Linked DNA regions of Mytilus edulis. Each later gene encodes a partner of the first gene's protein in a complex. Links are inferred from orthologs where the notes say so. Each region holds a gene or a part of one and is shown in the gene's direction. Other genes may lie near its edges. The genes, in order: DNA-directed RNA polymerase III subunit RPC5-like, DNA-directed RNA polymerase III subunit RPC9-like, DNA-directed RNA polymerase III subunit RPC10-like and DNA-directed RNA polymerase III subunit RPC3-like.

Evidence for each region.
Region 2: DNA-directed RNA polymerase III subunit RPC5-like (region 1) and DNA-directed RNA polymerase III subunit RPC9-like share a complex: the UniProt entries of both Homo sapiens proteins name them as parts of the RNA polymerase III complex. The link is inferred for Mytilus edulis from reciprocal best matches to the Homo sapiens genes POLR3E and CRCP.
Region 3: DNA-directed RNA polymerase III subunit RPC5-like (region 1) and DNA-directed RNA polymerase III subunit RPC10-like share a complex: the UniProt entries of both Homo sapiens proteins name them as parts of the RNA polymerase III complex. The link is inferred for Mytilus edulis from reciprocal best matches to the Homo sapiens genes POLR3E and POLR3K.
Region 4: DNA-directed RNA polymerase III subunit RPC5-like (region 1) and DNA-directed RNA polymerase III subunit RPC3-like share a complex: the UniProt entries of both Homo sapiens proteins name them as parts of the RNA polymerase III complex. The link is inferred for Mytilus edulis from reciprocal best matches to the Homo sapiens genes POLR3E and POLR3C.

What each region holds. Positions count from the first base shown.
Region 1 is NC_092352.1:63,261,751-63,269,237, reverse strand, and holds the start of DNA-directed RNA polymerase III subunit RPC5-like, read left to right. Parts: upstream 1-4,469; 5' UTR 4,470-4,502; coding exon 4,503-4,538; intron 4,539-7,487. Other genes in the region: H(+)/Cl(-) exchange transporter 7-like, read right to left, coding at 1,719-1,844. UniProt on the Homo sapiens protein: DNA-dependent RNA polymerase catalyzes the transcription of DNA into RNA using the four ribonucleoside triphosphates as substrates.
Region 2 is NC_092344.1:6,443,856-6,451,098, reverse strand, and holds the start of DNA-directed RNA polymerase III subunit RPC9-like, read left to right. Parts: upstream 1-4,220; 5' UTR 4,221-4,364; intron 4,365-6,672; 5' UTR 6,673-6,794; coding exon 6,795-7,229; 3' UTR 7,230-7,243. UniProt on the Homo sapiens protein: DNA-dependent RNA polymerase catalyzes the transcription of DNA into RNA using the four ribonucleoside triphosphates as substrates.
Region 3 is NC_092355.1:14,059,081-14,066,853, forward strand, and holds the start of DNA-directed RNA polymerase III subunit RPC10-like, read left to right. Parts: upstream 1-4,768; 5' UTR 4,769-4,783; coding exon 4,784-4,945; intron 4,946-7,773. Other genes in the region: U11/U12 small nuclear ribonucleoprotein 25 kDa protein-like, read right to left, coding at 354-602, 4,592-4,642. UniProt on the Homo sapiens protein: Core component of RNA polymerase III (Pol III) which synthesizes small non-coding RNAs using the four ribonucleoside triphosphates as substrates. Can mediate Pol I proofreading of the nascent RNA transcript.
Region 4 is NC_092347.1:36,094,664-36,102,444, reverse strand, and holds the start of DNA-directed RNA polymerase III subunit RPC3-like, read left to right. Parts: upstream 1-4,773; 5' UTR 4,774-4,820; coding exon 4,821-4,967; intron 4,968-7,781. Other genes in the region: NAD-dependent protein deacetylase Sirt7-like, read right to left, coding at 841-1,051, 2,366-3,163. UniProt on the Homo sapiens protein: DNA-dependent RNA polymerase catalyzes the transcription of DNA into RNA using the four ribonucleoside triphosphates as substrates.

The sequences.
Region 1 (7,487 bases):
TATGTTTTTTAATATTATTAGAAGGTTGTTTCTAGTATGTCTAATCTAAGGCTTCTGCAACACATGTTCAATTCAATTCAATTCAAAGCTTTATTTATAGACGGCATGTAAATTAACGAATCCCGGTCCGTTCGCCCTGGTACATGTTCACCCTGATACCTGTTTTGCCCAGGGTCCAACGCCCTGAATTTTATTTTTTTCTTATTGTTGTCTAGTTGCATAATGTTTATAATTTATATATGAATATGTTAGATTTTGTTGAAATTCGCCAAATACATGTATATGTATTCCCTCAACCATTTTATAGTTTTCTTTTGATTTACATATAGGTAGAATACTGGAATACAAATCAATGTTTATAATTTATCTTTATTTTAATATTTGTTACCAAATCATTTTATTCAGTCGATTTAAGCAGTATAACTGAGACTACTCTATCACATGATTGTGTTAAAGTAGTTTCATAATAAATGAACTTGTAAATTCTTTTCTTAAAACAAAATGTTGTTTTTATTATTAATCCCGCATCAAAGACAAATATTACAACAATCAGTGAGAAGTATTATGTCATTGAACAAGCTTTCTATGTGTTTTCAGAAATTCAAAGAATAGACCACATAAATATGAGGGGCCTGATGGGGGGGTCTCATCACGATTCACGAGTTGATTTTTTTGTCAATCACGAGTCACAGAAAATAAATTTCCATGATCACAGATCACGAAAATATAAGAAGAGTATCACCAATCAATCTCGATAATAGAGATTCAGAAGCTGGTTGTTTGGTGCAATTAAGCTACAATCAAATACATTACTGGCTCATTACTTGTTTACATGTTGAATTCTCCCAGGTTCTAAATTAAATCGTTAAAAACAGTCACATTCTGACTTCTTTTATTGTATAATAATAATATTTCATAGAAATGTTTTACTGGCGTAAATACCATGGAACCACATCTGTGTTTTATCTTGAGGCTAAACTAAGAGATTATAAAGTATATATATTTATTTTGTCAATAAAATTTACTGCTGAGCCTGATTGTTCTCCCACTCCTGCTGGTTGTCCCAATAAATTTATTTTCCTGTCCAAAACAGGTTGGATCTACATAAAATATCACAACCTCGACAATGTTATTGCTGTGGCTCTCAGCCATGGGGGCTGCCATAGCTTGCACTAATAAATGACCTAATTGCACTTTTAAAACTATCGTGCCACTTCAACTTTTTAAGCCAAGAAAGACAACTCAATGGAACTCTTTTTTTCCGTAATGAAAAAAAAATCACGAGAACGAAAAATATGTCTCAATCACGAAGAACGAACATAAAATTCCAATGAAAACGATTCACGAACAATGGTTTCATCACGAATCACGAAAAATAAATCTGTAGATAAACGGATCACGATAGCGAAAATGAGCCGATCACGAAGAACGGAAATAACCCATCAGCCCCCTCAAATATCTGAATAAGTTTTGTAAATTTTTATGCCCTTTATAATATTGACATTTCTTATTTAAAAGTAGGGCGAACGTACCAAGGGCGAACGGACCCAAGGCGAACATGCAATTAGGGCAAACTGACCTGATACCTTAATAAACAGATATACATATCTGTGAGCTTTTATAACTGACAAATACATAAAGGATTGAAACATAAAATGTTATTGTCTCAGGTCTTATCACATGTATATGAAGGCAAGCACAATATATTTTCATATTACCAAAAAGTTTACAGAAACTTCCACCAATTGTGTTGAACCGTAAGATGTTGTATTTGTGTTTTTGAGAGCACAACCTATTTCAGAAAGTTCAATATATTCTGTGCATCGTTTTCCAATCAATGCCATTTTCTCTGAACACTTTCAATCTCTAGATTCAATGAAGATATCCAAGAACATGAAGTATAGATTTGTTTCCTTGTATCATACATTTTTAAATACTTTTTGCCGGTTGATTTCTAAGATTTGACTCATAAGTTTTTGTTTCCCGCTTTTAAGCAGCTAGAGGAAAAGAAAACAAAAACTGTAAAAAATGACTCAGAAAGTTCATTGTTTAAATGCGAAACCGAAAGTATGGTGAAGGAAAAACTTATAAAATATATTCAGTTATCCATGACTGTTTGTTACTATAGACCTGTTGTTTCAACATTTTTTTCTGTGGTTTCAACAAAGATGATTGTTCGTTGACGTCTTCCGCCATCCTCTCACGTGTTGTTTGTTGTTGACATTTAATCAAAATTATTCCGAAGCAGGGGAAGCTGCCGAGGTGTTCCGATTAAAAAATAGAAAAGTCCCGAGGTAAAACGTATTAAAAAATGTATTGCAACACCGATAATAGTATATATTGAAAGAATAAATTGATTAAAGTTTTAATGAATATTACCATGAATTGATCCTTGAAAAAAATAGTCCACTCTTCAAACCAAATACAGTCTGAGGGTCAAAATTGTTACACCTATTAGAAATTATTTCACACTGTGACATTGGTGCTGTTATGACCCCCCCCCTAGTCCCTCCCTTTTATTATCATAAACCTCAGATTTTTTAAATATATATAACACTTATTTGTACCATATATATTCTAATAACTTTAAATAAGCATGCCTAGTACTATCAACGTGAATCTCGACTATACAGACGATAGCTTAATCAGTGCCGGCAAAATGTTCTTCTAAATATGAAAATACTCCCATAATTACATGACGTATGACATATTTAAAAAAAATAGATTAAAGGTAGCTCCATGGTATAACAACATCTTGGATTATACAATCGCAAAACAAAATCGGTCTAGTTATTTGCCCAAATCTGCAGTTTTGGAGACAGATTTACAATTTATTAGTTCGACTGTTTATTGATTTAAAAAAAACTTTGTGATTAACTTTATTATTCATAATATTTAAACAAATATCCATTTTTTTGTTTTTAGAATCATATTTTTCTCAAATAAGCCATTTAAGTGTAGATAACTCTTTTGGGGGAAATGCAAGCCTACGGCTTGGTTCGTTTGCCCAGGGTTCTTTAATGCTTCCTAGGAGTCTGTTTCCTGGGAACGTGAGCCCGCGTAATTTTGAATATATATAATAACGGGATGGAATTTTATCGTATTACCTATGTGTTCTAAATTGAAAACCTGTGTTTAATGAAGTTAGATGGTCAGTTTTCAGAGTTTTTTAGTTGTAACCGCAGGATTGATGCAAAGGAAGTCATTATCCCCTTTTTATATTCTCTCTATAGAAATAGAATTAATCAAACAGGCCTGGGTATTGAGCCATATGAAGTCAGAATGTTAAATTCATTTTTGTTCATGTACGCAGACGTGAGGTTTATCATATTTTGAAAATTCGCCGAAATGCACTTTGTATCAGTATTTACAAGATGGCAACACTATGCAATTTTACCTTAGTCGTCCATTAAACAGTTTGTATAAATCTTATATTACTAGATATAACATAAATGCTCATGCACTATGCATAGAAACAGGTAGATACTATAGTATAGCAAGAAAGGAACGTTTGTGTAGTATGTGTAATACAAATACTATTGAAGACGAGTATCATTTTATTTTAGAATGTGATAAATATAACGACATCAGATGTAAATATGTAAATAGTTATTACTATTAGAGACCCTCTACTTTACTGAATTAGTGTAGCTGTTATCTGTAAGAAATATCAAAGAGCTAAACAACCTAGTAAAATATTTGTTTTCTGCAGAAAAAGCACGTAATGGTTAATTATTCAAATGTTTATTTTTAGTTTAATATGTCTATATGTCATACTCCGCTTAATTCTTTCATTGTTTTGTATAATTTGTGTATAAATGTTATATTATGCTGTATATTATCTATTGGATATTTATATTGTGTAAATCCAATAAGCTGTATTTGCTTACGGAAATAAAGTATTATTAAATTTTGTATACACTCAAACTTTATTTTTAGTCGTTTTGACAACTTTATTAGAAAAATAACTTTCACACTTTTTTAACATATGAATTATACAAATTTTATTTTTTAATGTGCAATTACTTTTAATTTCTATTTTTCTAACCAAAACTTTAAATACAAATTAAAAAATATAATTTGCCATTATCTTCCCTGAACTGACTCACAAAATCAGGAAATAACCGACATTTTCGTGCATCTTTCACTATCATATGACAGTTTATTATAAAATCGGTTGCGGGTACACGTAGCCTACGAAGTCAAATTTGACTACGCGTACCCGCATGCGGGTATGCGCAGACACTGCCCAAAATAAAATGTAAGCCGTCCTCTCCCCATTCCAAACTCTCTTTTGTATCTCAAAGAGAGAGAAAAAATCTTGTTGAAAACAGATTATAAAAAAAGTATGGAAATAAAAATGGAAACGGAAAACTTACAAATAATCTATCATATTATAAAAATAATATGTGATCATATGTATATTTTATCAAAATAATTGAATAAAACCAGGTTAGGGATCAGCACTATTTAACTTACCTGTGAGTATAACAGTCGGAACAATGTCGGACGAAGAAGACGACCCGATTGAGCATGAGGTGACAAAACATTGCATTTTAATCTAATGACAGGTTCAATAATGAATTTTGTTATAGAATAGTATACTTGCGTTACATAGTTAGCTATAAAATACTTGAAAATTTTGACAAAATTGAAATTTAATCATTTGGGATTGTTGTTTGGAAAAAGGGGGAGGGGTATTGTTAGTTCAAGAACTGAAGAAGTTAAAAAAAACTTCACCATATAGCAGACATATTTTACCATACTATATCCACAATGTCCAATTACTCTTCTTTCCTTTAAATATTTTTGGAAAATTTCGAACAAAGAAAGAGTATGTAAAAACATTTATTCCATCTATCAGTCAGTGGCGTAGCTTGCATGTATGCTCAGATGCTCAAGCATCCACATCATTTTGACAAAAAAAAAATATATAATTGCATATGTTGTGTCTGAATGTAAGGGTGACGATATGTGAACATCGTCCAATCATTTCCAAAGCAGTATACATGGTCTTCTTTCCTTTAACCTTTTGGCTAAAATGGCCGTATTTACACCCCAAATTTTACTCTGAGTACAGACTAACCTATACACCTGCAACAGTTTTAAGGGATGGCAGGAACTAGATATATAAATTTTAAATGCATTTTATGTTTCAGAAAATTATAAACTTTTCTAGATTTTGCTATCCATTTTTTTTCGTTCCTGCAGAAGGTGCAAAAATTAACTAAGTCGTGAAAACGATTGAGAAGCTCCCCTCATATAATCAATGTTGTGAGTAGTATTGATTTAAATGGACAATAGATGGACAATAGACACCTGTAAACAATATGTGATTTAACAGGTTTAAACTGTGTAACTGAGTGGACCGTATCAAATGAAACTCGGGTGTCAGTCTTCACGCTGAGTGGCAGCCCTGGCAGCCCAGGCAGCCCAGGCAGCCCAGGCTTGTAAAATTGCTCTCGGGCCTGTAAATATCATATCTACAGGCCAACAGAATCTAACTAAAAAATTTCAAAAATTGAGCTCCGGGCCTGTAGGTTTAACAGTTCATCGTGAAGACTGGGGTGTTTGTTTATTTTGCTATCTTCTGCAGACTGGAAAAAAATGGACATCAAAATCCAGGTAAGTTTTTAATTTTCTGAAACGTAGACTTCATATAACTTTTATATATCTAGTTCCTGCCATGCCTTAAAACTTTCCTGGATGTACCAGTTTGTCTGTACTCATAGTAATTTTTGAGGTGTAAACACGGCCATATTTTTCAATTCCTTATGATGAACCTTAAAGGGAAACTTCGCAAAAAAATCAAAAATTGATATTATGTTCATTCTGTATAAAAATGTTCAAATTCATAGATATTAAAGTTTTATTCCGCTAGATAAGCGATCACCATCGATTTTAAATTTAGAGTATCAATTCTCCGAGATCCGCCATCTTGTCTTCTTTCCCGATGAATAAAAACGATATGTCTATAAACCACAAAGAAACAAAACTACAGTAACCGATGTAGTCGTAATTGCTTGTCGATATCTTGTCAATCGTACGGTTGTATAATACGACTAACTAACTTGATATGGAAAATATTCTTACTTTTTTTAAATTACCATGGTCTGTTGTTTTTAAACTGTTGATATGTGAATTAGGTGAAAAGTCAAAGTTGAAATCATAAATAAGTGTTCCGTGAAAATTGTTTTCGAAAATCTAATTTGTTCATAATTCTTTAAAGTAATAAACTTTTTTCAAGTATATTTTGATCTTCCCTTATCTGATCACCAGCATGGCTAAAGGTATTACTTCCAAAGGTATTGTGAGGGGTGTGAGGTGACACGTCCAGGTATTCAAGCGATTTCCTGTCGGGCTTGCAAGTTCATGCATCGTTTCACTTCTGCAGGTATTGATCAGTGTACACGGCTGATAACTTATAACTTATAACTTTCCATTTTGAACTATCAGATGTATAATATACAACTCTGTCTTACTTGTCATTACTAAACTCATACGCTTGTTTATAAATAACATTTCTGGTGTAAAGAATATAATTCATAATATATAAATAATACCCAAAAAATAAGATTTGATGAAATTAAAATCTATTTAAATATTTTTTCCAAGGGTGAATTTGGGAAAATGTAATATATAGTCATTGTCAATAGTGAAGGACAGATTGGAACAGACCAGAAATATTGATTTAAAAAAATGTACGCACTTGCCGACGATTCGTTTATACGACTGGATATAAAGTTACGGAACTATAGCGCAATTTAAAATATATACGTGAATACATTGAACATAAGAAAAAAACATATATTTTGAATAAATAGGGGTAAAAGTGTTGTAAATAGGCTAGCCAACGTATGCCAACAGTATGTAATTATCGAATGTCGATAGACTACAGTTGTATACCAAAAGAAGAAGAGAACCAATTTGATTTAAATACAGGTCGATGTATAACTTTTGCTTTGGTTCATTGAAGCTGTGGACCTAGGAAAATCACAGATTTATATTTCAATAAGATTGTTCTCAAACAAAGGAAGGAATTCGTCATCACAATTGTTATATATGCCACTGGACAAACACTAATTATCCCCAGGGGATGCGAATATTTTGCTGGGAAACTTTTGAGTATCAAAGTTTCAAATTAATTTCGGGATTTATTTTCTTTCTTGGTATTCAATAACCGAAAAAAGAATAAATTACTTGTTCGCTAAATAGGGATATTCTTGTCAGATAAAAGAATTTTAGTTATATTTAAAAAATAGGGAAATATGACATTAAATTGGTTCTGTCTTTTTTTAAACATCGTTAAAACGATGTGTGTCTAAGGTGAACGCCACAAGAACCCTGTAATACTAGTACGAGAGTATAGCATGTAAACATTCCTTCTCAATAATATGGTTGTATTGGAAAACTTTTCATACAGATTGACAACTCATTGTCCGATATGCATGTAATATTTGCCACATGACGCCCATAGTTCTTTCTAC
Region 2 (7,243 bases), on another chromosome or scaffold:
TAAGTTTTAACCAAATCCATTCAGTAGTTTCAGAGGAGAAGATTTTTTAAAGTTAGCAAATATGATGAACAAATTGTGAAAAATTGTCATTAAAGGACAATAACCCCTTAAGGGGTCAATTGACAATTTTGGTCAAATTGACTTATTTGTAGATCTTACTTTGCTGATCTTTTTTGCTGTTTACAGTTTATCTTTATCTATAATAATATTCAAGATAATGACCAAAAACTACAAAATTTCCTTAAAATTACCAATTAAGTGGCAGCAACCCAACAATGGTTTGTTTGATTCATCTGAAAATTTCAGGGTTGATAGATCTTGACCTAATGAACATTTTTACCCCATGTCAGATTTGCTCTAAATGCTTTCGTTTTTGAGATATAAGCCAAAAACTGCATTTGACCCCTATGTTCTATTTTAAGTAACGGCGGCCATGTTTTTTGACAGATCAAAAATCAAAGCCCACACTTTGTGCAGGATAATCTAAGGAACAATCATGCTAAGTTTTAACCAAATCCATTCAGTAGTTTCAGAGGAGAAGATTTTTTAAAGTTAGCAAATATGATGAACAAATTGTGAAAAATTGTCATTAAAGGACAATAACCCCTTAAGGGGTCAATTGACAATTTTGGTCATATTAACTTATTTGTAGATCTTACTTTGCTGATCTTTTTTGCTGTTTACAGTTTATCTTTATCTATAATAATATTCAAGATAATGACCAAAAACTGCAAAATTTCCTTAAAATTACCAATTAAGTGGCAGCAACCCAACAATGGTTTGTTTGATTCATCTGACAATTTCAGGGCTGATAGATCTTGACCTAATGAACATTTTTACCCCATGTCAGATTTGCTCTAAATGCTTTCGTTTTTGAGATATAAGCCAAAAACTGCATTTGACCCCTATGTTCTATTTTAAGTAACGGCGGCCATGTTTTTTGACGGATCAAAAATCGAAGCGCACATTTTGTGCAGGATATACTAAGGAACAATCATGTTCAGTTTCATTCAAATCCATTCAGTAGTTTCAGAGGAGAAGTTGTTTGAAAAATTGTTAACGACGACGACGACGGACGCCAAGTGATGAGAAAAGCTCACATGGCCTTTTAGGCCAGGTGAGCTAAAAATGCATTTTATAGCAGTGTTTATGTGAATTATAAATTTAAATGTCTATGCAATCATGTTGGTAAATAAACACCCTACAGGGTCAAGTCATTAACCCTTAGGGTCAAGTCATTAACCCTTATAGAAATGAAAAGGCTGAATATTGTTATATAAACATATCAATGTCCTAATCTGAATAATTACTTATTAATTAGTGATGTACATATAAATTATACAAAAGTAATTTTTCTTACATTTTCTTGTTAATTTTTAATGTAAGATATACATGTATACATTTGAAAAATGAATTCTTTGAATTTATGTTAACAGTTTGACCAATCTAGACGAGAGGGTGATTTAATAGACTTTCAGAAGAGAATTATTGATAAAGGCCTTTTCCATTAATATTTGTGTAATGTGTGACTACATATTTACTTGTCTCATAGTTGCAAGAATAGTACTTTTTAAATGTATTATCACTCTCAAACAAGTAAACTAATTTATAAATCAAAATGTGTTTATAAATATCTTAAATGTATTGCAATTGAGTTTAAATTTCAGGCAAGTATTTTATATTACCCAGTATTGCCCAGTATTACCCATTAAAACCCAGTAAAACCCGGGTTTTCCCAGTATTTCCCACTGGGCAGGGCAATACTCATAAAACCCGGGTTTTTGCCAACCCTGAAAAGTATTATTAAATTTGTTTGTAAGATGTTGTTTCGATGGGTCTTTGCTTATTTTTGTCATAAATTGTAACTCATAGCAATACAAAAACAGGTCCGCAATAAGTGGTGCACAGTTAGTCCCCATTGAAATTCCGATAATCTGACGATATACGGAATGTAAAGAATATTTTTGTTAACAAACATCAATAAATATATTCTATTAGTCTATGCATATCAAAGGGAAACTAATGAATTGGTTGCAGCAATACAAATATTTGGCAAATATTTCAACACACTTAACCCTCTTGCTGCCAGAGGGACACATATGTCCAGACCGACTGTGCCATAGGGACATATATGTCCATGTTCTAATTTATGCAAGCTTCTCATCATTGATGAAATTCTTTAAAAATTAAACAAGAGTGCACACACAGAAATGTCTCGCCTTCTTTACTAATCATTGATATTATGTTGATACTCCTAAATCTAAAGCTTTATTACAACCGTCACATAGACTTAACATGAACCATGAAAATGAGGTCAAGGTCAGTTGAACCATATGCCAGGCAGACATGTACAGCTAACAATGCTTCCATACAACAAATATAGTTGACCTATTGCTTATAGTTTAAGAAAATAGACCAAAACACAAAAACTTAACACTGAGCAATGAACCTTGAAAACCAGGTCAAGGTCAAATAAAACCTGCACGACTGACATATAGATCATAAAATATTTCCATACACAAAATATAGTTGACCTATGACATATAGTATTAGATAAAAAGACCAAAACTCAAAAACTTAACTTTGACCACTAAACCATGAAAATGAGGTCAAGGTCAGATGACATCTGCCCGCTAGACATGTACACCTTACAATCATTCCATACAACAAATATAGTAGACCTATTGCATAAAGTATGAGAAAAACAGACCGAAACACAAAAACTTAACTATAACCGCTGAACCATGAAAATGAGGTCAAGGTCAGATGACACCTGCCAGTTGGACATGTATACCTTACAGTCCTTCCATACACTGAATATACTAGACCTATTGCTTATAGTATCTGAGATATGGACTTGACCACCAAAACTTAACCTTGTTCACTGATCCATGAAATGAGGTTGAGGTCAAGTGAAAACTGTCTGACGGGCATGAGGACCTTGCAAGGTACGCACATACTAAATATAGTTATCCTATTACTTACAGTAAGAGAGAATTTAACATTGCAAAAAATCTGAACTTTTTTTTCAAGTGGTCACTGAACCATGAAAATGAGGTCAAGGACAATGGACATGTGACTGACGGAAACTTCGTAACATGAGGCATCTATATACAAAATATGAAGCATCCAGGCCTTCCACCTTCTAAAATATATAGCTTTTAAGAAGTGAGCTAACACCGCTGCCGCCGCCGCCGGATCACTATCCCTATGTCGAGCTTTCTGCAACACAAGTTGCAGGCTCGACAAAAATTAAAAAGTGCAATATGTTTCTGCAATGGCTCTCAAATGTAATGATCATTACGACATGACTTCATATATCGAATGACGTCATTGTTTGGCATGTCACATCACAAACATGATCATCGAGCAGTCATGTTTCCTGGCACATGAAATGCAACACTGAAAAACATATGGCAGCAAGAGGGTTAAACATATTCTGTTCAGATAATAAACATTATGCACTAGACAGCAAAAAAGGAAAACAAATAAAATCAGGGAAGTGGACCCAGGGGGAACATGTATCAGGGCGAACAGGTACTAGGGCAAAAGCGAATCAGGGCAAACCTGAATCTAATCGAACATGAATCATGGTGAACGGACCTGGATTCAGTCATCGCTGAAGAGTTACATGAACATGTATATTTAGTGAAATTGTTATGGAGGATCTGTAAATGAGCTATAGAGGCAGGTGACCGCTGAAACAAGGTGACAATTAAAGCAGGTTTAACTGTACAGTTAAGGACGATCTGGTAAATAATATTTGGTAGAATAATAATTTTACAGATGACATGATTCTAATGTTTTTGCTACTTTTAAAAATATTAGATAAAAATTTTGGTGTTAGGCATGTTTTTACCGTAATTTAAAAAATCAGCGTTAATGCATTTTCGAGTAAAATAGAAGAAACTGGTTAACTAATTTGCTGTCAGCATCATCTGACGTCACCAATCGATTTACAGTGAAATTCTAACAAGGAAATCGAGTTTCGCGTTAATTACATCGTATTCCGGATAATTGCTATTAAATTGCATAGAATCAATATTTCCCAACAAAAATTGTAAAAATACATTTATTCATAAATTATAACGCGAGAATATTAAAAAAAAATATGAAGACAGCATTGTTATTGTATTTTTAAGAACAATTGCAAAAGTAAAATGCGTAAAATATTTCGTTGTTTCTCCGTTAATATTTTTAAGATCGATATTTAATTTTCCATATCCGACTTCCGGTCTTTTTACACCTGAATTTGCAGTAAAAACAAATGAAATGTTTAGATTCTGTAAATGAAGTCTGTGTGTCAATATTAGATAAAAATGATTGTTGTCAGTAAAACCACCATACACGGATTATTAAATTTTGTAAGCATCATTTTTGATTAATCAAACATCCTTTAATTAAATGTAAAAATGAGTTACCTAAACGTGTTACAACTCGATTTTTTTAGATTCATTTTACAAAATTCATTTAGTTGTTCAGATTTATACACATTTCAGATTTATAATGAGAGTTTTGTCATATGACGCCGTGGGCCTCTGTGGCAGAGTGTTCTAAGTAGTTACTACTGTAATCGCTAGCCAGTCAACACCAAGGTTGAATGAACTTACAGGTCCGTAACTAGCCTCTTATAATAGTGAAGCAAAATATATTCACCTAGCATAGCGATGTGGAAAAATTTTGGCGAGGGGTCTGGGGGCCACTCAAGGCCGGAAGAAGCTCTGAAAAAAAAACCCTCAAAATCGTGCATTCTGAGGGTTTCCCAGACTTTTTCTTACATTAAAACGAAATCAATTTTTAGCTATTTTTTTTTTAACAATATTCTTGTCTCAATACATAGATTCAGTGTAATTTAAGACTTGGGTTTTACGTGGACAGCTTTAAAGGTAGACCGATATGTAGGATAAAGCAAAAATCGTAATTCTCATTATAATTAAAATCGGATCTGTCTGTTCTTGTCTTGTATTGTGCTTTGTTTACGACTAGATTTAAATATAGTGACAGTGCAGTATTATACTTTAAGTACTAGTTCTGCTTAAGTCGACACTAAGGACCATCTTGACCTTGTTTGAAGTTACTAATGATTCTTTTATTGTTGAAGACCCCCCAGCAACTATCAAGATGAAGAGCAGGAATAAATACTTTGACCATTGATCATTTGTATTTTTCTCTGCATTGACTTTGTGTTAGATTAGGTCCCGTGCAAGTTTACTACACATTTCTTTATTTTTTGTTAAAGGGTCTGAACACGACTTATTAAATGCAAGTTTAATCCTTCAATGTATGAAAAGGTCATACGGTAAAACATTGATGTTTTTTTAGTAGATGATTTGATACCGGAAAATTGGTGGTCTTACTTTAATTTATACCTTGTCAGCTATCTAGTTTTATCTACAAAAAAAAAAAACAGTTTTGTATTCTTTGAAATCAAGTTCAATTCTTCATGCAGAAACGACCATTTTTTTTCTGTGTCCAGTAGCATCGTGTATTCTCAAAATATTTCCTTGCACAATGTCTGGGCATCAGTGGACATGCAACATTGCAAAACCACACTTTTACAAATGAAAAGCAACAATCATACTATCGTCATAAAGTAGGACAATAAATGAACAAAAGACAAACCCAGGACACAGTACAAACAATAGACCATCAAATCTGAAAACTAATAGTAAAATAGAAACATGGATCACGAAAAACATGCAGGTGCGACATCAGAGAGTGAAGAGAACTTGCTTCAGATTGCAAGACGCTTTCTATGAAAACAACTTGATATGAAGACAATCTTTTGTTTCAGTTTTGTTTTTTTAAATTTCCAACATGAGGCATTTGCCTCAATGTAGTTACGGCCCTGACTTATACATTAGTGCCCACCTTAAACTTGCTGTGAGTTGAGAGTTTTTGCTGTTTGTTGAATGGTCACAATGTCACCTTATGATCAACAATAAAAGCACAGTTTTTATGCCTTTTGTGCTTTTTGCTGTGCAGGCCAATCATTTTCACTTTGATTTAATTGTTTTATATCTGTCATTTCGCTCCTTTTATAGCTGACTAGTAGGTATTTGTTTAACTCAGTGTTTAAAGCTGTACATGTGGTCTATAGTTGTTAAATTTTTGAGTCATTTGGTCTCATGTGGAGAGTTTTCTCATTGACAATTATGCTCTATCTTATACCAATATCTTTTCTTTTCTAATATACTGTGACAGGACAACTAGTACTTCGTCCATTAGAACATTTGGTAGATACTAAGTCAGCTGTAAGCGATTGAGCTAAGGAAGTTCTTCTTTAGCTCAGTTGGTTAACACACTGCCTAGTAACAGAGGTCCTAGTTTCGCGTCCAGGTGGAGACGAGCAATTTTGTAATGAAATTCATTCTCTCTGGTTACAATACAATATATTTTAGATTGACTTCTGTCATAAATTATGATAAACAAACAATTAAAGTTAAAGAGTCAGTTGGGAAGTTCAAAATAACCATAATCATGATAGTAGGACCAAAAATAAAAACAATTTAGGATTAGCACTTTAATTTTCTATACATTGAAATAAGAACTTTGTTTCTAAATAAACCTCTTTTTTTTAATTTTAAGTTACTAGCTGTGATTGTGTTGCTTGCCCAGGTATGTATACGTTTAAGCTGCTAGTAGATTTATTTTAATTTTTTTAATTTTCAGTTACTAGCTGTGATTGTGTTGCTTGCCTGGGTATATGTTATAGCTGCTGGTAGATTTATATCCATCAGGACATTAGAAAAGCAGTTCCCAACCTCATAGATTATAAATCATACTATAGTAAAATGGAGGTGAAAAATGACAACTCTGCTATACTGAGTAATTATGAAGTTCTACAACTCCTGTCTGACATTCACACTGGAAGAGGACAAATCAAACCAAACAAGCACCAGAAAAACCTTGCAACTATTACCTATGAAACTGTTAAATATCTAGAAAATACACCTTGCAAAAATCAAAGTCCAGAACTTATTCAAAACATCATGACAGATTTGCAAGCATTTAATTTAACAAAAGCAGAAAAACTACAAATTTTGAATCAGTGCCCAACATCAGCTGTTGAAATTCAATTGATTATAGAAGAAAGTGAAGAACGTTTAACAGAAGACCAGATTTATCAGCTGTTAGAAATCATAACAAAATATAACGTAACAAAAGAAGCATCTAACGCTGGAGATGAAGAGATGGAAGACGAGGACGATTCTGTGGAACAAACTTAACTCATTTACATATA
Region 3 (7,773 bases), on another chromosome or scaffold:
AAATGGACACGTTTGGGCGTTTATACAAATGACACGCTTTGGCGCAGTTTCAACTAGACATGTTTGGGGGAATCGGACACGTTTGGGGGGAAGGACACGTTTCTGAGTGTTACATATATACAGTGTAATCTGCTTTATCTGATACTTGAGTATTCCAACATCCTGCTTTAACATGTTTAACCAACATATTTTTATGGTCTCAAAACATGCCTATCATTACAGAAATAATCTGAGTATTCAGACACCCTGCTTAATCAGATATTTTTTTCTGATCCCCCAGTGAGTCAGATAACACAGGTTACACTGTATATGTACCTTTTGGCTCTTTAAGTGTCCCCCAGGTTCCTACTTACAGTTATTATATCCGACAATGTACTCTGGACCTTGATCATAACTTCCTGATGACTAAGAACCAAATCCTCATTACAGTTCTCTTCTTCATCTTCTTCACCTTCTTTACATTCAACCTTATCTGTGATCTGATCAACAGGTCGGCTGTCAAGGTCATCACTATGGGTACTGTCTTTGTTTACATTTTGTGTGTGTACATTCGTGTCAGAAGATTTTGGTGTACTTTGATCAGCACTCAGGGATTTGACAACCTACAATTAAACAAGTATTTTGTGAGTATTGCATTGATTATTTGAGTGAATTTTCTAAGTCACAAGGACTATTTATGAAACTCTGCACAAAATCATCAGTCTGAAACAAAATTATAGATTTGTAACTTTTCATGATAAAACAATGCTTTCTTTATGATCTTTGTCCAAATAGTTATGACGTCTTTAACAGTCAAGGGTCTAACTTAAATAAGTTATCAGAGAAAAATAACATGCATGTGTTATTACAGACACTTTCATGAGTTGTCTACTCTTTTTTCCTTAATCTGTAATAACATATATGTTTGTTATCGGTTAAATATATCATAAATGTTTTATCTTTATGGGCACTAGGGAATTCTTAAAACTTTGCGCAGTAGTTTAATATATTACCTTGATAACTAATTTTCTAATTCTATTAATACCATTTTGATCAACCACGGTAAATCAATGAGACAAGGCCTTTAAGGGCAAACTACATGTAAGCTGTAATAACAAGGCTTAAGTTATTACAAGCATGTAAATAACTGTATGAGAGTAAATGAGACACTTGAAATCTTGCGCAGTGCCTCATTACAAGCTCTGATCATCATTTCTTACCATGAATTGAAAGTAATTGTTATGCATGTCAGGGCAAAGCATTCAAAGAGATATATATATAGAGAATCTGTAATAACACCCTTTTGTTATTGCAGGCATATATTTTCTGTTATAAAATAGGTGTACTATGCATGATTTGTAAACTATGAGCTGTTATATCTTTGCAAAGATTAGTATACATAAAGTAAATTATACTATCAATAGAATTGGAAAAAAATTTAACAAAATAAAGGTTGTATATTTTCCCTTTGAAACATGTAACATACATACATGTATGTTATCACAGTTTTTTGATATTTTAGCCCACAATAACAACATGCATGTTATTTTTCTCTAATAACTTATTTAAGTTAGACCCTTGACTGTTTTTTAAAACATGTTTAAAAGCTATTTTATTTTTGGGATTTGACGCCTTACCAAAACACAGTAAGGTGTCAAAGCAACAACAAAAATAGTCTTTAAAGACATCATGATTATTTGAACTATAAATGCTTTCTTTTTCTAAACTTTTTATATTGCCCTTGTATCATGTGCATATCATCATGATCATTTTCATATGTCTTGTACTGTACAATGTATGTGTGTATGTATTTTAAAAGCTCTATAGAGCTTTTTTTTTCTTTGTTTCTTTGTAACTTATATACGTGTAATACTGAATATAAATAAAGCTGTTGTAGGTCGTACATGTACTTAGAATGAGGCATTCAAATGAGTTAATTGGTACGACAGTGTTCTCCCCAGGACATGATACATTTGTACTAATAAGAAGTTGTCTGAGTTTGTAGTACAAGTCTGTGTTTATATAATTAGTGGTAAGAGTTAAAATTGACATTGGTAAGAGTTTGCAATGGTGCAGGCAGCATAGCTACAATCAGACAACCTCAAATTCCAACAGTCCAGTAGTCTGACAGTCCAATAGTTCGACAATCTGACAGTCCGTAAATCCAACAGTCTAATGGTCCGACACACATATAATATACTATTCAATTCCTGTTCAACATGTTGATGTTGTTAACGAGAAATCTGTTGACATACATGTACATGTGCATGTGCCTGCATGTAAAATATAATGTGGTTGAAAGTGATACATGTATGTCACATGTATTAGATGTGTGGCAATATTGGAATCTTCTCATATCTGAAGGGCGTTCGCCCCGAAACGACTACATCGGATTGGATTACATACACATGCATGACATGAAGAAGTAAATAAAAAAATTTGTATCTGTAATTTCTTTTGTTCTTTAAAGATCAATAACTTTTAATGAAATAGGAAAAGTGTCATTACATGTATCTCAAATTTTCCACATGCAGTAACACTTTCAGATGATGTTTCATAGTTCATGGAATGTAATCTCAATAAATTGCGTCACATCTTTTTTTCTGTCATCAAAATAATACTTTATCACGGGTTCGACGACTTACAGAAAAGAGTGACGATTTACAGAAAAGAACCGAAAAGGACCGAAAAGGACCAAAAAGAACCGAAAAGGACCAAAAAGAACCGAAAAGGATATCGATTTTTTTTTGTAATCGAAGGTAATAAAGCGACCCCTAGATAATCCAGAGTTTATTGTGGCTTTGTTTGTAACGCAATTTGTTCTGTCCTACTTGAATTGTTTAACGAAATATCTTCAAAATAAAGATTGTGATATGGTTCTTGCATATGACGATGCAGCTAATAAATACATTAAAGACCTTAAGACAGTTGAAGTTTATTCCCCAGATCTGCCAGATGTAAATACATGGGAACAAGAAGTGACAAAGTGACGATTATCGTGATTAAATCACGTGCAACAAATGTATATTTGACATTTAACATCCGAGAGGAAATGGTGATGCTGACATGTATATTTTTTATATTACCATACCCAATGCCACCGGGCAATATGCTGACATCTTAAATATAAACAAACGAAATATATTTTTTTTAAATGTAAGGAAAAACTTTTGTAGTACGATAATATTTGCTTTTCAATTTTTTTTTACTGCGTATTATTAAAAACATGTAGTATGCTAATTCAGTAAAACGTTTAAACCTGCTGCATTTATATTTGCACCTGTCCTAATTTAGGAACCTGATGTTTAGTGCATGGTTGTCGTTTGTTGATGTGGTTTGTGTTTCTTGTTTCTCGTTTTCATTTTTATTTTGACCTATAATTGTTTACTTGTACAAATTATGACTTTGATTGTGAGTTGTCACACCTTCTTATATCTATAAAAACAAATATTTAAATAATAAGATTAAAATCCTTGATGAAAAATAAATGATAATTAAATACATATATTAAAAAAATATTACTAAAAAAAAACAAGTTATATTGTTTCTCTTTTGTAAATTCACATACCCCTATAAATGCACAATCTAAATTTTGAATTATGCATTCCATTTTATTATTACGAAGAATTGTTAACAATATAAAAAAAAATCCGTGTATATATACATGGTTTTAACTTTATTTAATAAATATATATGCATCCTCTTTTCGGTCCTTTTCGGTTCTTTTTGGTCCTTTTCGGTTCTTTTCTGTAAATCGTCGCTCTTTTCTGTAAATCGTTGGACCGCTTTATCACTGCTCTTGTATTGCAATATTATAAATCGCTGTACTATCTATTCTTTTTCTGGTTTAATTGCAAAAACCTGAACTTTTTGCTGATAAATGATAACACTTATATGTAAATTATAATTATAGACTTTCTCGTTCTTCATATACATGTAGATTATACCGTTGGTTTTCCTGTTTGAATAGTTTTACACTAGTAATTTTTTTGGGCCCTTTATAGCTTGCTGTTGGGTGTGAGCCAAGACTTCGTATTGAAGACCATACCTTGACCTATAATGGTTTACTTTTATAAATTGTGACTTGGATGGAAAGTTGTCTCATTGGCACTCATAACACATCTTCCTATATCTACATGTACTTAGCCTTCCAAGTCATAGAATCGCGTAAAAAAGAACGGAATGAAGATGGGCAATGACGTGAAGACAGTACTTATTCATACACAGCAGACAAAGCAGATACATTTGATCATGAGATAGTGGATATAAGACTGATGGCTGCAGTGCTGAAGGTTACAGGTTCAATTCTGACTCTGGGTGCGAGACATTTCATTCATCAGAAGGATGAATTTCATTATCCCTCTCCCATCTCTTTGGATTATAGGACTGTCTGATTATAGGTATTACTCCATGGTACAAGTTTTCTATAAATTGCTGAAATTAATTGATACTTTAATTACTTGAACATACATACATACACTTGGAGCTATTACCCGTTAAGGGGTGTTCCTTATAATAGGAAGCTTATACGAAGAAAAGAAAGAAAGCTGCTACACTATACAGTAAAGCCAAGCAATTGTTCTCAAATTGCATATTAAAGGTAGACATTTACCTTAACAAAGCACCTATCAAGTAAATCAGACTGGTCCATGGGCGCAGCCATTTTGTAAAGTCATGTGATATGATTGCTAATTTTTGTGTTTATTTCAAACATTCTAATCATACGCAGCAAATAATAAATAAAAAGAATAATGGTAACTTCTAAGAAAATTAAATTAAATTTGATTATAGTGCTCCGAACAAAATGAAAGTAGAAATGAGGTCATTTCCGGTTTCACTTTGTTCTTTCACAACTATGTTGCTGTTTTGTCCAACGTGTGCGAATATTCTGGTGGTTGAGGAAGGCCAGAACTGCTACAGATTCGCATGTAACACATGCCCTTATATACAAAATATCAACAGAAAGGTAACCATATAAAGTTATAAGAAATATATCTCGGCTGATTCATGATATAAATTTTTAGTAAAGTTAAAAAATCTTGGATATGTATAAAAATATACTGTAGAACAAAAAATTTGTCTGTCTATGATTTTCTCTTTGTCAAAAATAAGGTATTGGTCGAGGACATAACTGTCATCTGAAAATTGTCATGACATCGTGTGAGGTATGTAGCATATAGTCGTCATTTGATTGGGGTCTTATGAGGGGGGGGGGGGGGGGGGGGGGGGGGTGTTCTGATCCTGGATTGCGCTTATTGTTTAGAGAGAATAACGTATCCAGTGATGGATCCAGAAATTTACATAAGTGGGGGCCCACTGACTGACCTAAAAGGGGGCCCACTACAGTCACGCACCAATGATTTCCTATATAAGCAACCAAATTTGTTCCCAAAAAGGGGGAGCCTGCCCCCCCCCCCCCTAAATCCGCCTCTGGTATCTCCCTTCTTGTTGCAATAATAGCGCATGTAATGTCCCATGCTCCTCCAGACTTTGTTTCCTGTTTCACCCTTATTTATTTGACTTTCACTTGCCACCTTAAAAAAAAAAAATTGGCTACATACGTGTCACTTTTTCACCTTTTTTTTTTTTAAATCGGCCTATCCCACATCACAATTAGACCCAAATACAACCCACTATGATTTCTTGAAAAAAAAAATCTTTTTTTTTGCGATTGCTTTTTTGGTGGTGTCATTTAAACCAATTTAGAGTTATGCCCCTTTACAAAAGGAAAAATTGATGAATTTTTGGTTTCTTGTCTCTTATTTAAGTTTGTCTCAACAAAATGTTATAAAACTTATATACAAATGCCTTTTTACCAAAAACTCAAATCAAGTATAAATTTGGGTAGCTTAAGTGTCATTAGCACTCATACCACATCTTCCTATATCTATAGGATGGAGAGTTGTGTCATTGGCACTCATAATTTATTACTTCTTTTGTTCTTCAGTTATGTCCCTTAAATTATAACTGCAGTGTATCCCAAACTGTGTCTGACTGACAAAATGTCAGACAAAAATTCTTATGGCATGTATGGTCAGACATAAAATGTTACATTTTTTAGTTGAATATATCATTGTATATAGAGGAAAAGTGTCACATTTCTTTTTTGATCAGATCAACCCTTATGGCTTAAACAGTTTTGATATATAAGCGGGGGTTTCTTGGGCATATTTAATAAATGGTTATTCAAGATCGAGAACTTTTGCGTATGGATTGCATTTACCCTTTTTTCATATAAGACTACATTTGCAGTCTGTTTTTTTATGGTGTGCTAATACACTAAGACATATATGTCTATTCAGTACCGCAATTTTGTTGCCGCTGCCTTTGGACTATCATATATTGCAATCGTATTGAAAAAAACAAAATGCAGCATTTTACAGGTATCATCGGTGTCCTATGGACACATTCCCCATTTATTTTCATTTGATATTCATTGATATCATTAGATTGAGTTAAATACAAACATGACAAATACAAATACAAATACAAATACAAATAATTTTATTTTGCAATGAGCGCCCCAAAGGAGCAGAAATTTATATTCCAATACAAGCACAAATTATACAAAACACAAAATTCTATAAGGAATGGTACAATATAAGTTATTAATATTGATATAAAATAGCAAATGGAAGGGAACATAAAAACAGATGCATGTACATGTAACAATGAAATATATATATTACATTGTATTGACAAGTAAAGTCATGAACAAATGAAAGTGATTCAATCTAAGTATTCAACAATTTGAACTTTTCATTCTTAAATAAGTTGCATATTAATGTATATATATAATGATCTTCAGAGGACATTTAATAATAAACCATATAAATTTTTCATCACATTTTAGTTGATCAAATTTTTTTAATTTTAAGCTTATTTAGTTTACATTAATTGTAAATTAATGGGAAGTTCTTATTATATCTAGTTTAGGACATACAAGGAGAAAATGAGCATGATTTACATAATCATTGATTTAATTTAATTCCAGAATGTCTACCTTTTCAATTTCCAGATCATGAGCACTTATTCAAAATTTGGTTAAAATTTTCTTTTTCTGTAGTCCCCCCAACAATGCCCAAGATAAATAATTTTCAAAACTAAAGTTAGATTTAAACTTTCTGTATGTCAATGTATGTCCTTAATTTATTTCCATGATTTAGGTTAGGATAATCTTTAAATACTTGATCGTGCCAAATGTTTTTGTATTTTTCTTTTAGCATGTTTAATAACTGAAAGATTAATTTTCTATTAGGTTTTGTCTTATTTATTGCTCTACTAGCAGTGACCAATCAATAAGTGCTATTAGGTTGCACTCCTCTTGATAATAAAATTGGAAGATGTGATATAAAATTTGCTCATGAAACATCTATTTACATGTGGGCCATAGGTTACTGTACAGTCCTTCAACAATGAGTAACACCAATTCCTTTAAAACCTACTGATAGTAGGCTCTAAAATGCCATGATGATGACATGATGTAAAACAATTTAAATAAGAAAACTGATTTATGATAATAGAGTAACAAACAACAACCATCGAATTACAGGCTCTTTGTTTTGGACAGACACTTACAGACATGACATATTACTACATTTTTGTACTAGTTTAACAGTGTAACCTGATACCTGTCTAATCTGACACCTTAGTATTCCAACATCCTGCTTTTAGTGCTTTAACAGACACATGTCCCAAGCCAGAAACCTCTGGCCTTTCAGTGAGTCTCGTTTGTTTCTTTTTTAATTTTATTTCATTTATCTGTTTTACGGTTTTGTATGACGTTTATTTTCA
Region 4 (7,781 bases), on another chromosome or scaffold:
GAGTACACAAGATCACTCTTGATTTTTTATGGAGTTTGTGTTGGGTAGTTTTCAGTTTCCTATGTTGTCTTCATCGTATTTCATTTTTTTGCCATGGCATCACCCATTTTGTTTCAACTTGTGATTTTGAATATATATATCCATTTGGCATCTTTTACCTCTCTTTTATATCTAAAGTAACCCATTCATTCTTTAACACTCTAGGGAAAGTATGGAGTGCAAAGAACATCTCAAGCAGCACAAAAATGGAAATTTTCAATTCCAACTTTAAATCATTGCTCTTGTATGGATCAGAGACATGGAGAACAACCAAAACAATGTTGTCTAAGACTTCAAAGGTTCATCAACTACTGCCTAAGGAGAATCATGAACATCAGATGGTTCCATAAAGTAAGAAATGAAGACCTATGGAAAAGAGCTGGCCAAGAACTGATTGACATCCAAATCAAGAAAAGAAAATGGGTATGGATATGCCACACACTGCGAAAATTAACAAGCAGATTACATTGATTGATTGTTGTTTGCTTAACGTCCAAGCAGATTACAAGGCAGACTCTAAAGTAGAACTCTCAAGGGAAAAAAAACACAGAGGACGACCAAGAAACACCTGGCGTAGGGACACAGAATCGGAAATAAAGCAGCAAGGACACAACTGGAACACACTAGAAAAGCTGGCCCAAAATCGAGTTAGATGGAGGGAGTTCGTCAATGGCCTATGCTCCCCGGAGGAGCCAAGGGCCTAAAAAAAAACAAAAAAAAAAAACATTCATATTTCTTTACAAATGTATTATGTTATACATGTTTAAGAAAACTCTCCTGCTGACTATGATTTAAAGTTACCTTTTGGCCCCCTGAAGTCAGGTATCCCTGCTGAGGTGCTGATACCTGCACCTGTGATGACAATCATATGTTTACTATATTTGATCAACTCTACCAATTCTGCTATCTTTCTTTCTCCTTCTTCAGGAGAATCTTGTAGTTCTGGTTGGCCACAAGGTCCTTTATGCTCATATGGTGATAAACCATCTGCGTAATTCACTGACATCTCAAACTGAAATAAAATTGAAAGAAATAATTTAATATTGTAATCATTTGGTTGGGTTGTTGAAAAAAGAAATGAGGTGTAAAACATGTATAAGTTCTGGACACAAAATCATACATGAACATGATGAGGGTCTGTATGAAGGTCCCTTTTTTCTGTATTCTATACTCTTAAGGTAATTTTTTTCTATATCCTATGCTTCATATTTTTTGGCCCATTTTCTCTATTACCGTATTCACATTTTTTGCCTACTATCATGATTATTGTCTGTTCTTTATATTTTAGCATCATTTAATTAAGGCATTATACCGTTGGTTTTCCCGTTTGAATGGTTTTACACTAGTAATTTTGGGGCCCTTTATAGCTTGTTGTTTTCGGTGTGAGCCAAGGCTTTGTGTTGAAGGCCGTACTTTAACCTATAATGGTTTACTTTTTAAATTGTTATTTGTATGGAGAGTTGTCTCATTGGCACTCACACCACATCTTCCTATATCTATTCTAACAAAGACACCATAACATGCCAGGCATAACAGGCAGGGCCTAAAAATAGTCATTAAACTGATATGTACATATTTGTACAGACTGAGTTGTACAAAAAGCAATGCAACTTTATATAAAATATCATTGATTTATCACAAGGAGTTTTTATCACACCAATTATGACTTAAGCAGAAAACTTAACATTTGATATTGCTAATGAATTCAAAGTCACTGACCTAGTAACAATGGTAAGTGTAATGAAGCAAAACAAATCTTGTATATATAAAGGGGATCAAAGCAACATTTGTACTTTTAAATTTCACAAAAGTATCAAAACAGTGCCATCTATCTTAACTGTTTTAAATATTTTTGATGCAATATACATGTATACCATGAAAATGATGAAGCCAATTTTTATTTAATTTAACTTGGCTGTGAAAATTGGGGAATGTAATCTTACCCCATAAAGGAAAGATACATTATATATGACCTTATGTGAAGATTATAAATAAGGGAGCAATTTAAATATTAAATTTGGTAAATACATTCTTAGTGTTACAAAAAATTACAATACAAGACAATACCCTGAATACAGTACAAGAATACAAAGTATTTAAACAATGTACTGTAAATTAATAAAAATGGTCAGGTTTTAATTAATTTGAATAATGCAACCGGGTGGGAATCGCAAGAATAAGAACTTGCATTCTGATAACTGAAACATAGATCTGTATGCAGCTATTTTTGGAAATCGCAATAATTAAACTTGCACTTTTGTCCATTCTTGAAAAATTGCAATAATAAATGCACGCAATAATTTCTGAATTAACATTATACCATTACCATTGGGGTTATTGCATAAGATTTCTGTTCACAAGAGAGACAGGCAATTGAATAGTTATGGTCTTCATGGTCATGGTGGTCATATGAATCTGTGCTGTCAGAATCTTGATGTTCCCTCTTTATTAATGGAGTTGGATCTATATTTGATTGGTCAATTAGTTGTGGTCTAGCAAATGTTACTGTAGTAGCCAACTCTTGACCAAGACCCAATGTTGAATATGGGTTATTGTCACTGGGAGAATCTTGATAATCTTGATGTTCTCTCTTTATTAATGGAGTTGGATCTATATTTGATTGGTCAATTGGTGGTAGTATAACAAAAGTTACTGTAGTAGGCAACTCTTGACCAAGACAAAATGTTGGATTTGGGTTTTTGTCACTGGGAGAATCTTGATGTTTTCTCTTTTTCAATGGAGATGAATCTATATTTGATCGGTCAATTGGTGGTGGTCTTGCAAAAGTTTGTGTAGTAGCCAATTCGTGACCAAGACACAATGTTGGATATGGGTTATTGTCATTAGGAAATCCATCTACAAAGTGTATTGAGCAAATACGAGACTCTTGAGTAGGGGTCCAGATTTTATTTCCAATACTTCTGTTTACATTTTTTGTCCAGATTCTCCTGTTGTATGGGTTTTTAAGTTCAGTTGGAAATGTGAAAAGTGTAAAAGGAGGTTCACATATACATCTTGATGTTCCAAAATTACAATTATGAAAGTCACAGAAGTGTTCTTTCCATTTCTCTAATCTTCTTCCATTATTTCGACAACCTTTAACACAACAAGCACGCTTACCCATTTTGAAATTCTGACATAAACATCACAAAGTTGCTGAAATATATATATCCTAAAATTGAATACTTATAAATTGAGGTAAAACAAGAATGTGTCCAAAGTACACGGATGCCCAACTCGCACTATTATTTTCCATGTTCAATGGACCATGAAATTGGATAAAAAATATAATTAGGCATTAAAATTAGAAAGATAATATCATAGAGAACATGTGTACTAAGTTTCAAGTTGATTGGACTTCAACTTCATCAAAAACTACCTTGACCAAAAACTTTAACCTGAAACATGCACTGTCATTTTCTATGTTCAGTGGACCATGAATAAGGTTGTGCAAATTATGTCACAATAAAAATATAGAAGACGAAAAACATTTTATCTTGCACTGCACAAAATATGAATCACAAAGAAATGTTCTTGTATCAAAATTGTCCTATTTTAAAAACTATGACAAACAATCCAAAACGGAGGATGAATATATCAAACTATTACTTAATCAGTTAATAGCAAGTGTAGTCAAAAACACTTAGATTAATATCATCTTTTATTAATCAATCATTTGAATTAAGAAAAAATGTTCTTATAAATGAGTAATACAAAATGTATGAACAATTTGAAGCTATAACATACAATAAACTTATGTCAGTAGTCTTATAATTCTTATAAATTAACCTATATACATTGTATTGATATATTTATAAAGTTCTGCACATTTCATTGTTCGAAATGTGCCCAATGATATGCTATGTAGTATTGTTTAATTGCTGCATCATTACTATTTGTATACTAGTTGTATGGGCCATTGCCAATTATTGTAATTGAGTTTGTGCCAATCATCGGAGGCATCCAATAAAATATTTGTATTTGTATTTGTATAATCGCCTCCCTCTTTCATTTTTTGTCCTTGCTATCAGAGCTATTCCCAAAGTCTGTTACAAAACTGGCTTACATTAGCAAAGCTGATTAACTTACTTTTAAACTTAACTTTACACTGTTGTTTAGATAATTCGCCTTTTTAAAAATCAAATCTAAAGGACTATGGGTAATCTCATTGTTGGTACACCAAAATGAAAATAACGTTACGTCATCATGGTCATTGGTTGAATTTCTATTGTTAATCACGTTTTACACCAATCACAGCGTTTTGTTGTACTCTTTTGGAAATTTTACCCAGAATGCTTAAGATTCCGAAACGGTGAATTGATAACCATGTAAAAGCTCGCCATTAATTTGGTATATATTTTTCATCTTTCTATAGTTAATATTGAATTAAACCTGATAAACAAGGCAACTTTCCACTAAAAATTAGAAACACTGACACTACACTAGCGACAGGAAATTTCAAATAAAAAATGTCAAAAAGTGATGCTCTGCAGTAGGCTCAATGTTTTCGGCAGTGCAACCCAAGGAAAAAACAACTGGATAAGTAGATTACTTAGCTGGGGGAGACACCAGGGGACTGTGTTTAAGATTCTCTCGATTATTAGATCTATAATTAAACTCAAAAGTTATACTGTACTGCAAAAAATCGTAAACAGTTTCCAAAACCGCTTTTGTTTCAGCTTTTACCTTCTTTGTTTTTGGAGTTCTCGGATCTTTTCCATACTTCTCTGTTTAGCTGGAATCTCTTTTGATTTTACCAACCAATTTAATGACGAAACAGCATGTCACATAATAAAAGTAACCTATGCAAAAGCATATTAAAAGATAATTTTGGAGAAGTAGCAGAAGCAGTTGGATGTCATCTATTGAAGGATAATATCTGTGCACTTAGATACCTTGCATTAAAGAGCAAATTCTCACTAGAACAGGTGCATTACTGATCTAAATAAACTATATATTTTTATAAACATAATTACATAAAATATGATTTTAAACATGATATAAAAAGATGTGGTAAAACAAAATTATTTTATGCTTAACAGCAACAAACAACAACCAGTGAATTATAGGCTCCTGTCTTGGGTAAGGTCTGTTTGCCCTGATTCACTGACATATGTATTCGCTCTAGTACATGTATTTGTAAAGTACCTGCTCGTCCTAATACCGGTTTGCCATTGGCCTGATTTTTCTTTTTTTCTTATTGTTCTCTAGTTGCAAATTTGCATAATTTCAGAGACATATATACAATGTATATGCCTCTGATAATGTTTATTATTTGAACAGAATATGACTTAAATGTTAATTATAACGTGCGTTGTAAAATTCACTGAATATTTCGGTATTGCTGAATCTTATTTATCATTTTCCCTTTGATTTGCATAGTAGAATACATGTACATGAATAAAATGTATTTTTCTTTAAAGTTTTGATATTTGTTAACAAAATATTTCTATTCAGTAAATTATTATATATATATAATGTACAATGTAGTATAACTGAGACCTTAAACACATGTGTTTTAGTCATCTTTGCTAGCCTAGGGTTACAATCCACCCATGTCTCTCTTGTCTGAAGAGGAGGGAAGTGGATTGTAATCCTTGGCTAGTGAAGATGGTGTCAAAGTAGTCTCAGAGTTTAATAATAAACATGATAAATGAATTTGTACTGAAATCCTTTTCATGATTAACAATTTGTACATCATTGCTTTTATTAATTCTAAGCTGACTAGTTTATTAAAAAAATGGTATTATGAACCCAGGCCAAATGGACTCTATTGGCGAACAAACTCAGGGCGAATGGACCTAGGATGAACATGTAATCAGGGCTGTGGCAGGTTAATAATGTTAGTTGGTACGAAACAATCCCCATAACCTGGGACAACATTAGATCAAAATACAATTATAAAAACCAGTGATAAAGGGCTTAATATACATTAACTATATGAGCACCTTGTAAATGTATACAATTAGTGTACATGTAGTTCTTTGCATTAGCCTGCAAAATTTGGGACAGATTGGCAATAAATGTATAAGACTGTTTATTTGCTTTACATAATTAAGTAAAAATAAGGTGATTTATTGCATTATTAAGACTGTTTTAACCTACACCAATTGTTTGGGTTTGTTCGAATCAATTTTCCCAACTAGGAACTTTAAGGGAGATAATTTAAACATTGTTAAATAGTCAAATTTGATAAAGGAATTTAAAGAAATTCAGATTTTTTAACTTGAAGCAAGCTTTAGAAAATAAGTTCTGTGACACCATCTTTTCTATTTAATTTCTTAAGCATATTTTAAAACTTGTCTTCTATTTATTTCAAATTTGCATCTATATACATGATATACAGATATATCATTGTATACACAATACACTTAAAAGTTAAAACACAGAAGATACAGTACAGATCTGAGAGTACCCACAGTGTCTGAAAGCTTGTTCAAAGACAAAAATAACTAATAAAAATCATAAGTCTCAGACTTAAATATCAATCAGTACACATTCAACATTCAATCCATGGATTAAGTGTTTTTAGAACCTTGTTACCAATCAAAGAAGAGCAATGAAGAGCATGGCCTTGTTTGTTTTATTTTTATTTTTTGGAAGAAATTGAACAAGGCACGAGCAGTTTTACTCTACGAAAAAAATAAATTGTTAAGGATTCATAACAGAACATTCATGAAATCATATACATGATATAAGTATTACCCCTGAGCAACAATGGTGCGATATACTTGAGTTAAGGAACTTCATGGATAGCATTTTTAAGCAATTTAAGTTTTTCCTTTTTAGCTCACCTGGCCCGAAGGGCCAAGTGAGCTTTTCTCATCACTTGGCGTCCGTCGTCCGTCGTCGTCCGTCGTCGTTAACTTTTACAAAAATCTTCTCCTCTGAAACTACTGGGCCAAATCAAACCAAACTTGGCCACAATCATCATTGGGGTATCTGGTTTAAAAAATGTGTGGCGTGACCCGGTCAACCAACCAAGATGGCCGCCACGGCTAAAAATAGAACATAGGGGTAAAATGCAGTTTTTGGCTTATAACTCAAAAACCAAAGCATTTAGAGCAAATCTGACATGGGGTAAAAATGTTTATCAGGTCAAGATCTATCTGCCCTGAAATTTTCAGATGAATCGGTCAATCGGTTGTTGGGTTGCTGCCCCTGAATTGGTAATTTTGAAGAAATTTTGCTGTTTTTGGTTATTATCTTGAATATTATTATAGTTAGAGATAAACTGTAAACAGCAATAATGTTCAGCAAAGTAAGATCTACAAATAAGTCAACATGACCAAAATGGTCAGTTGACCCGTTTAGGAGTTATTGCCCTTTATAGTCAATTTTTAACCATTTTTCGTTAATTAAAGTAATCTTTTACAAAAATCTTCTCCTCTGAAACTACTTGGCCAAATTAATCCAAATTTGGCCACAATCATCTTTGGGGTATCTAGTTTAAAAAATGTGTGGCGTGACCTGGTCAACCAACCAAGATGGCCGCCACGGCTAAAAATAGAACAAAGGGGTAAAATGCAGTTTTTGGCTTATAACTCAAAAACCAAAGCATTTTGAGGAAATCTGACATGGGATAAAAATGTTTATCAGGTCAAGATCTATCTGCTCTAAAATTTTCAGATGAATCGGTCAATCGGTTGTTGGGTTGCTGCCCCTGAATTGGTAATTTTGAGGAAATTTTGCTGTTTTTGGTTATTATCTTGAATATTATTATAGATAGAGATAAACTGTAA